Linked DNA regions of Xenopus tropicalis. The protein of the gene in region 1 interacts with the protein of each later gene in a biochemical or structural test. Links are inferred from orthologs where the notes say so. Each region holds a gene or a part of one and is shown in the gene's direction. Other genes may lie near its edges.

Region 1 (3,473 bases):
ATTAGCTCCAGCTCTACACTGGCTCCATTAACTTAAGCTTTAGATTGGCTCCGTTATCTCCTGATCAGCTCCATTAGCTCCAGCTCTAGACTGGCTCCATTACCTCTAGCTCTACATTGGCTCAATTAGCTCTAGTTCTTAGCTGGTTCTATATGCACCGGCTCTTCACTGACTTATTATTTCCAGCTCTAGACTAGCTCCAGATCTATTCTGACTCCATTAGCTCTAGTTCTCTGCTGGCTCCATTAGCTTCAGCTCTACACTGTCTCCATTAGCTTCACCCATACACTTACTCTGTTAGCTCCAGCTCTATTCTGGCTCCATTAGCTTTAGTTTTCAGTTGGCTCCACATGCACCAGCTCTACATTTGCTTCATGAGCTCCAGCTCTGCCCTGGCTTTATTAGCTTCAGCTTTAGACTGGCTCTATTAGCCTACATTTACGTCTAGACTGGTCTCTTTCACCATCTGTTTTGGCTGCATTAGTCTAACTCCAGAGTGGTTCCATCACCCATGAAAGGTTCTGTGATCATTTTACAGGTTTTGCTCCATTAGCCAAGTTTGGCTCTAAACTCGGTCTTTAAACCTATCTGCACAGAGGGGCTCCTCAGCCAGGACTCTACATAAGATTGTCCCTCTCAGCTCCAGTAGCAGAGTTCTGTAGTTTTGCTGCCATTGTTACTGACGGGTACCCTAAACCTCACCACATCCTTATTTCTCTGTTCTGGTCCAGCGGTCAGACTATAACACTCATTTGGCCATATCCAGGAAACATTGGGTCAGGGTGCACTGTTGGGATATCAGGATGACAGATGATAAGTTCCCCTTTAGATGCAATCATTTCATCAGTCCACAGACCCCAGAATGTAACAGTATGATCAAACGCTAAGGCCTAAATTCCATATTTAAGATAGAGACAAGACAATGAGAAATGGCTGATCTTATCCCCAACAAAGAAGCAAATCCAGCTCTGGCAATTATGTGCCGCACTGTTTGTCTGCAGGCGAGTTGGGACCTGATTCACAAAGAAAACTGATGTTTCCTCAAAGGGAAAATGTCTGCTTTGAAGTGTTTGTACATGGGACATGGGGCCCCGGAAAAGTGTCTTCAACTGCAGATGAATTCAGTTCTGACTGAGTTACTGAGACTGTTATTGAAAGCAAATGGAGCAATGAAAAGCTTTTGTTTTGTGCAGGATAAAGCTTGCCCCCCCCAAACTCACACATAACCATAACCAGGGGCAACCAGGAAGTGGTGTGGATCATACCACTTCCACACAGGGCCATCTTTCTCTCTGCTAAGGAAAGTTGGTCTGGGTCACAAGGTACATTTCCCAGCTAGTTTCCATACACCTTGTGACATGTGTGCTGCCATATTGTATTTGTTTCTATAGTTCTACCACCAATAGTTGTGTTTGTGCAGAAAATGACATTATTTTAGATATTTACAGTGTTCATTATTTTCCTTCTTCTCAGGAGCCTCAGACCTTACTGCTTTCAGTGATCCTCGAGTCGGCATTGACCGTCAGTTCTCCACTCTTCCATCCATCTCGGACCCCCGTATGCACTACCCAGGGGCTTTTACCTACACTCCAACCCCGGTCACTTCAGGTATAGGAATCGGTATGTCAGCCATGACCTCCGCCACCAGGTATCACACCTACCTACCCCCTCCATATCCTGGATCATCCCAGGCACAAAGCAGCCCATTTCAGACCAGTTCCCCATCCTACCATCTCTATTACGGAACATCGGCCGGATCCTACCACCAGTTCTCGATGATGTCGGGAGGAGACCGATCCCCGCCTCGCATCCTCCCACCTTGCACAAACGCTTCCACGGGGTCCACTCTCTTGAACCCTAACCTTCCAAACCAAAACGATGTTGTGGAGGCTGAAGGAAGCCATAGCAACTCTCCTACCAACATGGGAACCACCCCAAGGCTTGAGGAAGCTGTATGGCGGCCATATTGAGATGTTGCTACAGACATGGAACAAATGGAGGACACGTCAGATGGACGAGATATTGGCGAGGTGGAAAAACTGTGAAATCCTCTGGTTTAGCGACGCTGTGAAAAGGCAAAGATCAGAGGAGACATGGAGAGAATACGCAGACAGGCCACTGGCTGTTCCTCCTAGGGATTTACTATTTTCAACATATTTTGGATTACAATTTTTTTTTTTTAAATTATTTTAACCCAGATTTAAAATATATGTGGGGGTTTTTTCTGAACCAGAACCATACGCTAAATTATTGGAACGTTAGAAAGACTGGGCTTTGCGGCTTGTTACGGCCTATGTAATATAATGTCAGTCCCTATGAACAAAAAAAAGGAAAAAAAAAGTTTAAAAAAAAAATGACCCTGCTCTGAAATTTCAACATTTGCAGCCCTGTTAATAGGCACCTTACGGTTTGTTTTTGCTTTTTGCATTTTTAGCTTCCATTTATCATTTTTCCATTTTTTTACCTAAACTTTTGTATATTTTTATTGTAAGATTTCCTGCGCTCAGTGGCGCCGCTCAGTGGCCCGCCGGGTCCCCGCCGCCAAAAGTGTGCGTTGTATTTATACGTTGATGAGAAATTCAGGGTGTCCGTATCCGCTGAAACTTGTACGCTCCAAACGATACAAGGTTATTGTTTACATGTTTATTTTATATCGGAATGAATGACTTTTATTTAAATGCAATTTCTTTTTCCCCAAATTGATTGGACAAGGTTGATAGATCTGATCTGCTCAAAAGAACTTGATATGATGCTCATTTTGCCCTCTCAGTGCTCAAAAGAACTGCTTTTGTTTTGTTGTTTTCGATATATTAGCACTTTTTACACTTTGAAACAACAGTGCCGCCTACTGTTTATTTTTGTTAACTTCAAAAAATGAATTTTGGGAGAAGAGGAAAGTCTCTGCTCAGAAAATGAAGTTAGTGAGCAGAGAAGAGGCATCTGATAGTTATCTGGTTATTTATAAGCCAACAGATATCACAGGACTATCCTTTTCTCACAAAGTTAAGGTGCCCATAGACGTTAAGATCTGCTCACTTGGCGAGGTCGCCAAGCGAGCAGATCTTCTCCCAATATCCCCCCCTTTGGGTGGGCGATATCGGGTGAATTCATGCTAATTCGTTTGGCCCTGGGGCCAAATGATTGAATTAGAACGCGGAATAGGCGCAATCTGTTCGGGGACTGCATCAACGTGCTGATGCGGTCCCCGATCCGACTAAATTTTTTAACCTGCCAATCGATATCTGGCTGATTTCAGGCCAGATATCGGTTGGGCATTGCCGTCATTTCTGCCCCTACACGGGCCGATAAGCAGCCGAATTGGTCTAAGGGACTGATATCGGCAGCTACAATCAGCCTGTGTATGGCCACCTTTAGTTTTCAACCAACTGAAGTTGACCAAAGAGAACAGCAGATGGCGCTGTAGTTTCAAATACTGCTAATATATTGCAAACTAGAAAAGCAGTCCATGAAAA
Region 2 (3,658 bases), about 80 Mb from region 1:
AATGTATGTATGCATGTCTATTAGTATATTCCTTTGTGTGGATTAAAGATATAAGACTTTCATGCAAGCTACATAAACCAACCTCTGCAGTCTGACAAGTTGTTTTCATTCTGCAAGGTTTGACTCATCTAAAATGACTCTTTTTGGGTGATTTTTGTCTGTTTTATGTCCCTGCTATTTTTCTTAAGGAGGCAACACGGCACTACTGTATAGTGCCATAGCCTGCCAAGCTGGCTCAGAGGAAAACAATTCTTGAAAGAAAACAGAATGAGTGTCATATCATAGAAATAAGGAACTTTCCAAATATAATAAATTACAAATTCTGTACGGTTTCAAAAATAAAGCTGTTACTCTTCACTATTCCCTTCTTCGTAATCACCCTTCATGCAGGGATCAGATTTTGATTGACAGGTCAAATACATTGTTGTGTGCTCCATTTGCTTGTGTTTTTAAATCTGACTTTCAAAATAACCAACCCTCACTGCATGTATGTTGAGAGATTGGGATAGTAGCCAGTAAAATAGAGGGGCATAGTTTCTACTACACAGGGGAAGGGCTTTGTCTTTGTTTTCATAATATTCATAGTCCAATCCAAAAGCATAGGATTGCCTTTGCTGGATGGGAAACACTTAGGGTGAAGACACACGGAGCTACTTAGTAGCAGCTACTTGTCACAGCTACTAAATGCTAGAAAATCCCCTGCCCATAGTGAGAATTGCCTCTGCTAAAACACACATCGAGACAGTTATCAGTAAATTATCAGCATTGTCTCTTTTAGTAGCCACGACAAGTAGCTGCTGCTAGTAGCTCCATGTGTCTTCACCCTTATGGCAATTACTAGCACAGTCAGACTAGCATTGTTTGCTTCACTATTTCAAGATATCCCTGTTTGACAGTCACCAGCATCTGCTTAAAGTTTGGTCATAAATATGCCAATATAATTGTTGTATGCTTTTTGGTGTGTATATGTTGCAATTTTGACAGATATCCATGTATTATAGATATTGATCCATTATAGATATTGGTCCATTAGAATATCAAACAAGCTTAACACTTTTATTCTGCTGATGAGCCATATGACAGGGTCCTGGATGTAATAGGCTAGGTTAGGGTAAGAACATCAATATTCCCAGTTTGTTAGGCATGTGATAATCTCCCGGTAAGCCAAAAATGCTTACCTTCTGTCTGGTCCAGTGTTACTCTTCTATTAAAAAGCAATGGCAGGTTAGGTTTGGCATGGATTGACAAATTGTCAAAACTAGCATCGCTAGTGTTAGGCATCTTTCAGTGACTAAAAAAAATGCTAGCCTTCTGTCTAGGCCGCTGTACACACATTGTTACATCACTGGCCAATTTTTTGGGCATCCCCCCCCAAAACAGCAATTGCGCAAAAGTGAACACAGTTGTATGCATTGATGCCATTAAATAAAGAAACTTGTGCCCAAATGCACTTTTTTTAAAATTTTCCTAAAGCTGAATTTGGCTCACGTGCTTCCATCCCATCTCCTGTTGTAAATTGTAAGCACTGGCACTGGGGAAACCTGGAAATATTGCCACCTACAATCTAGAGGTAATGCCTGGGTTCCCACTGTGGGCCGGAATAGTGCTTTTGTACCAAGATGAAAAACTAGCACAGTAAACCCAATGCTATTTTCAGTTTAAAACTCCAAAACTGTTTAGCTCGCGCACAATTTAAGCTCAAATTCTTTCGAATGGTAAACTGCGTTGCGCAAATCTGTAACGCTGCATAATTTCGAAAAGTTAAGGCTGCAAATGATGTTCCTTGGAATATGCAGTAATAGCCCTAAAGTGACAAATCTAGACTCCAAAATGTTTAGCACAATAGTCCGAATGGGCTTTACTAGCATTGGTGCAATGGTCTGATTCATGACGCAGTTTGTGAATTCGAAACAAGCTGAAGAATAGTGTCTGAAATAGCACTTTGCACACTGCACTTGTGGTGGTACATGAAAAAATCCCTAAAATGTAAAGCTTGTGGCATAAATCTTCATAACTGTTATTTGCTGGATTAAAATGCACACTGCAATTTCAACCTATTTATGTAAGCAGGTGCTGTCGTCTTTTGTTAAATAATTTTCTCTATTTGTTTACAAGGAACCATGCGAAGTGTGAGGAAATCACTTTATGCATCAGATTCTGCACCAGCCAAAGGAATTTCTTGGGAATGGATGAATGATGAAGCATGTTGGACTGCTTATGAAATGCCAATTACCATATACTTAGATGAAAATTACTGCAATAGAAGACCATTGGTGGATCTTGGAGCATTTGGACTCCCCTACCAGGCTGACTTAAACTCTGGCATTCAGATAAATAAAATGACAGGTTTTAGAAGACAAATTCAGAGAAGAGCTGACATTCCTTATCCGTTAACATCAGCAATGGGACCTGTTCATAAATCTGCAGCATGTCTTTGTCACCAGTGCCTAGCCAACAGTGCAGCGGGTCCTATATCTGGACGTCACCGACACTCCATGATAAACTTGCCCACCTCCTCTGGTAGCCAGCTTTCTAGGACTTCATTTGCATCATCCTTTAATGTTGGTTATGTACCCTATCCAAAGCCATCAATGGCCATTTCAAAGTCCACACCAAAACTTAATAGCACTTGGTTAATCTCTCCAGTCCCTCTACAGTTTCCAGGACCATCATCATCATCTAATGGAACCAGGTAAGTGAAAAGCCCTTCCAGCAATGGTGCAGCATGCTAATGCACTTATATGGGTATGATAGCATTAATGCTGAATGTCTGCATAGCACATTCAATTGAAACTTTCTTTTTTTCTGGAAAATTGTAATACTATAATAATCCTATGCTTACAAACAGTACATTATAGTCGTAACTTACACTATACACTGGATGAGTTTTTTTTTATTTTTCTTGATAGCACATTGTGTATAATCTCTTCCAGCAACTTGCATTTTGCCTATTAAATAAAGTTAAACTATTTCCCTCAGAAAGATGTCTTATATTGATGCTCTTGCCTTGAGTATGTGTTTTGCTTCTGGTCTTGCCCTACTTCTTACACTTTACCATGTGTCACATTTTTACCAGCTTAAAGCTGGCCATACACGCAACGATAATATAGGAAGAAACCTCGTTTCTTTCCTCACTTTTCCTCTCACCTCTTCCCTTTTTGACTCACCTATACTTTTTCTAACCATTCTGCTTTTTACTCTTTCCACTTTCCACTTACCCTCACTTCTTCTCTGCTTTTCTTTCCTCCTTTCCTTTTTTTTCTTACCATACCTACATTCCCACATTCACATTTTATGTGCTGTCCATTTTATATCTATGACCTCCATCTCTCCACTAGCTGCATTTTACTCATTTGATTTTTATTTGAATGCAGTTTATTTTTTCTTTCCTTCTTGTTACCTTCCACACACACCCTCTTTTTCTTACACATTTCATCTGTTATTTTTTTTTATTGGTTGATTAAAAGTTTTCAAATAAACATGAAAGCCAAACAGTTTTGGTTTTGTTAAACATCCATACCTTTTCTAAACTTATCCAAATATATCAGCTGTCAGTCATAATGTACTATCCTATCTTTCCCAGGTGGGCTTGCTTTTGTAGCTTACAGTAAAAATTATAGTATTTCTAACAATAAAGGCTTTACCTTGTTAACCATTA
Region 3 (3,658 bases), on another chromosome or scaffold:
ACTACATGGTAACTATATTGCATCAAATCATGTTGTTGGCAAAACAGTCCTTCTGGGTTTATATTTTATTTCATTTTTATTTAAATTATGGGGATCCAAATTCTAGAAAGAACCCTAATCTGGAAATCCCAGGTCCCATACATTCTGAGCAAAAGATCTAATGCCTGTGCAATCATACTCATGAAAAGAAATGTGTTTTGAATAGTTATGCTTTAAAAAAGTTGTGTTTCACCGTAATTTGAGACTTGCAAGCTGCTAAGCTTATATTAATGTTAACATTGGCCTCACTGATACTGACATTGTTTTATCTATGCAGGTACTACTACCAGAGAGGGATCCTTGCAAAAGTTGAGGGTCAGAGGTTGGTCTACCAATTCAAAGAGATGCCCAAGAACATTGTGGTTATAGAAGATGACAAAGCAGAGCCCTGTAGTGAAGAGATGGTGTCTCCCATAGATGACAAATCATTGGAGAGAGTCTCCATCCCCACCGAAGGAATCATGAAAATGGCAATGCCGGCTAGGCTAGAGAAGAGCCCAACCCAGCAGAGTTCTAATAGGAAGCCAAGACTGGTTAGCTTGTCCTCTCCTGTCAGTGAGGTATCACCTCACTCACCCACCAGCACCACGCCAACAGCACCACAGAGGTCAGTTGGTGTCTTCCACATTTTGTTTTCACTTAAAAGTGCATATAAATCTTAACACAGATCATATATCAATTATCTATCATATCCATTTATCTATATCTCTATCTTCTGTTGACAAAGACAAGATATATATACACACACACATGCAATTTTGTGCAATAAGCGGCTATAACATGCCCCCCCCTTAACAGATTTTTGACCATATGTTTTGTCTCGTCTGATTCAATAAGAATTCTACTGCTTCATTATACATTTTTCACAGTGAGTTTTACATGCAATTTGCTTTTTAAGGTTAAAACTTCATTCACAATGGTTGTCCTTTTATTGGCCACCACTGGCATCACCTGACTGTAGCTGGGATGGGTGGGAGCTACAGCATGGAGCTGGCCACTGCTTCTGTATAAACCATAGCAAAAAAGGGGGAAAGTTATGCTCACCAGTAAATTTTCAACCTTTAGATGGGGATGGAATAAAGTCAAGAGATCCTCTGCACTCACCCATTTTTTTTTTTTTTTTGTTAGACCTGTTGACATATAGCAGTAATATACTTCAAGTGAAAATGCATTACATTAAATTATAGTCATGTAAAAACATTTTACATTTCTTGTATAAAACTTTCAGTATATGTACTCCATACTGAACTCATCACGTTAAAGAAACAATGTTCCTATTTTAAATGTGTAAAGCTGAGTCTCCAGTTAACTTGGGGCTGCATTTGCAGTCATGGGGAAACCTCCTAGTATCTATCACTAAAAGAAAAATACATCCAAATTGCACTGAACAATCACTAAAGGCAGATGCCCTTTGTTCCACTTTTGTTGTACCGTCCGTTCCTACATAAAGACTCAATTCTTATAGTTGTGTAAAGCTGGAGTCTAATGTGCCCAGATAATGATCCAACATAAGCACATAAATAAACCGATGGAATTCTAAATCCTTATTTAAACCATGGGTGAAGAGCGTATCCAAACAAAAACATCCAACTGACTTTGCACTGCAGAATACATATATCCCAAAGTTGTTGCTTCACAATTCTGCATTACCTTCCTAAAACCTAAATTTACTTTTACGCATTTTATCATAGGTTGTCCGCTTTAGAATTAGTTAAAACACCAGCAAGGTTAATACATAACTTTTTTTTTTTTCTTTTCTATTTATTTTGTAGAACTGTCCGGGTGGCCATGCAAGTGCCTGTAGTAATGACATCTTTGGGGCAGAAGATTTCTACTTTGGCTGTTCAGTCGGTGAATCCAGGTTCTCCTCTGATTGCAAACAGCAGCCCAACAACAGCATCAGCTCCAAAGGTTGTCATCCAGACAATCCCTACAATGTTACCAGCATCGTCTGAAAGTGGAGACAAATTCACTGTGCAACCTGCCAAAATAATCACTATTCCAACTTCCCAACTCACCCAGTGTCAGTTGCAGACAAAGCCTGGATTAAGTGGGTCAGGGAGTTTAAATCTTGTGGGAACACCACTGACTGTGAGAGCACTTACCCCTGTTTCAATAGCTCATGGAACTCCAGTTATGAGACTGGCAATGCCAGCACAGCAAGCCAGATGTCAGACTCCCCCTAGGGTCATTAGCACCCTTATCAAAGGACCTGAAATTAAATCAGACATGGTAGTGAGCAGACAGGAGGGAGAGATAAAAACATTTCAGTTAATTAAAGACGATAAACCTGCAGATGGGGGCAAAACAGTTACCCATGTGGTTGTTGTCAGCACCCCTTCCGCAATCAACCTCCCCATTACTGTCAAACAAGAGACAAGTGTGGTGTGTGAAAAGTGACAAAGCCTGCCTGCGTCTCTAGAATTTTGTGTTAAACTGACATTTAAGAATCAAACGCTGATTAAACGAAACTTCTGGACAGAAAGAAGTGAGGAAGTCTGCGGAGACTTTAAACAAAGACAATATAAATATACGCAAATTACAAAAGAAAAACTTGACTGGAAATGAATTCTGTTCCCATGTTTTCAGTGGGATCTGTTCATGTTATGAAATGTTCCTAAGGCATCGGAAGAAAAAGCAAACTGAAAGGGACCAAAGTGATTGTTCAGATCTATTGTTTTCGTTTTTCAGGTTTTTTTTGTTACACTAAAAATAAAGAGGAACACTAAATGACATCGCAGGAGGTTGTTATCCCAGAACCACAGTAAATGTAAATGGTAAAGAAATGTGTACTGCTGTGTGTGCAGACAGCTCTCACTTCATCGGTGCTATGCGGGAGAAACTGCTCAATAAGTATTGTAGGCTAAATAAACTGTACCAACGCGCACGCAGGGAAATAACGCCCACTGAGTTCCGCAAGGGGATGACAGATGCAGATTTCATATTAAAGCCTTAGACTCGTTTTTAGTTTTATTTTCTGTAAAATAAGCTAACAGCTTGTTTATGTAAAGCAATTTTTATACATATTAAAAAAAAATGTAAAAAGAGAAAAAAAAAACCCATTGTACCTAGCACAGTATTGGTATAGAATTACACGTAACCTATTTTATACAGTAGTTAAAAGTATGATTTTTTTTTTTGTTCATTTTTGTTATATCTCTGAGTGTTTTGGGAAGGCCTGAAGCATCTCGAGCAGAAAGCTTTTCACGGGAGGGTACAAACTGTCTCATGGCGGAGACGGCAGGTCAGAGGAGCCTTTAAATGTAACATGCTTTTTTTGTTGTTGTTTTTTTTGCCAGAATCCCTTGCAAACATTTCAGTTTTTATGCTATCCATTTGAAAGGTCACCATGAAGCATGTGTCCATTTTTGGGTTATAGAGTTTGAAGCCTGCTATTTTTTTAGTTGAAGTTATGAAGGTGGGTTGCTTAGGGGAGGGCATGGGGGGTAAATACCAGTGTTCAGAATGAACTAAAATAGTTTGTATATTCAACATTTGAAGTATATTCTATTTTGTTGTACTCTTGTTTCAAAGTGTATTCGAGTAGATTTTACTGCAATATAGAAAATTAATTTGATTGTCCGTGTCCTGTCTTTATTTTTTACATTTTTGTGTTTTA

What was found.
Region 2: the proteins of runx1 (region 1) and dtx2 form a complex in vitro, tested with the Homo sapiens proteins (2 studies listed by BioGRID, with this or other methods). The link is inferred for Xenopus tropicalis from reciprocal best matches to the Homo sapiens genes RUNX1 and DTX2.
Region 3: the proteins of runx1 (region 1) and elf2 form a complex in vitro, tested with the Homo sapiens proteins (2 studies listed by BioGRID and IntAct). The link is inferred for Xenopus tropicalis from reciprocal best matches to the Homo sapiens genes RUNX1 and ELF2.

What each region holds. Positions count from the first base shown.
Region 1 is NC_030678.2:13,968,974-13,972,446, forward strand, and holds the end of runx1 (runt-related transcription factor 1), read left to right. Parts: intron 1-1,473; coding exon 1,474-1,970; 3' UTR 1,971-2,865; downstream 2,866-3,473.
Region 2 is NC_030678.2:94,417,217-94,420,874, forward strand, and holds part of dtx2 (probable E3 ubiquitin-protein ligase DTX2), read left to right. Parts: intron 1-2,115; coding exon 2,116-2,692; intron 2,693-3,658. UniProt on the Homo sapiens protein: Regulator of Notch signaling, a signaling pathway involved in cell-cell communications that regulates a broad spectrum of cell-fate determinations.
Region 3 is NC_030677.2:61,147,833-61,151,490, reverse strand, and holds the end of elf2 (ETS-related transcription factor Elf-2), read left to right. Parts: intron 1-316; coding exon 317-646; intron 647-1,811; coding exon 1,812-2,439; 3' UTR 2,440-3,616; downstream 3,617-3,658. UniProt on the Homo sapiens protein: Isoform 1 transcriptionally activates the LYN and BLK promoters and acts synergistically with RUNX1 to transactivate the BLK promoter. Isoform 2 may function in repression of RUNX1-mediated transactivation.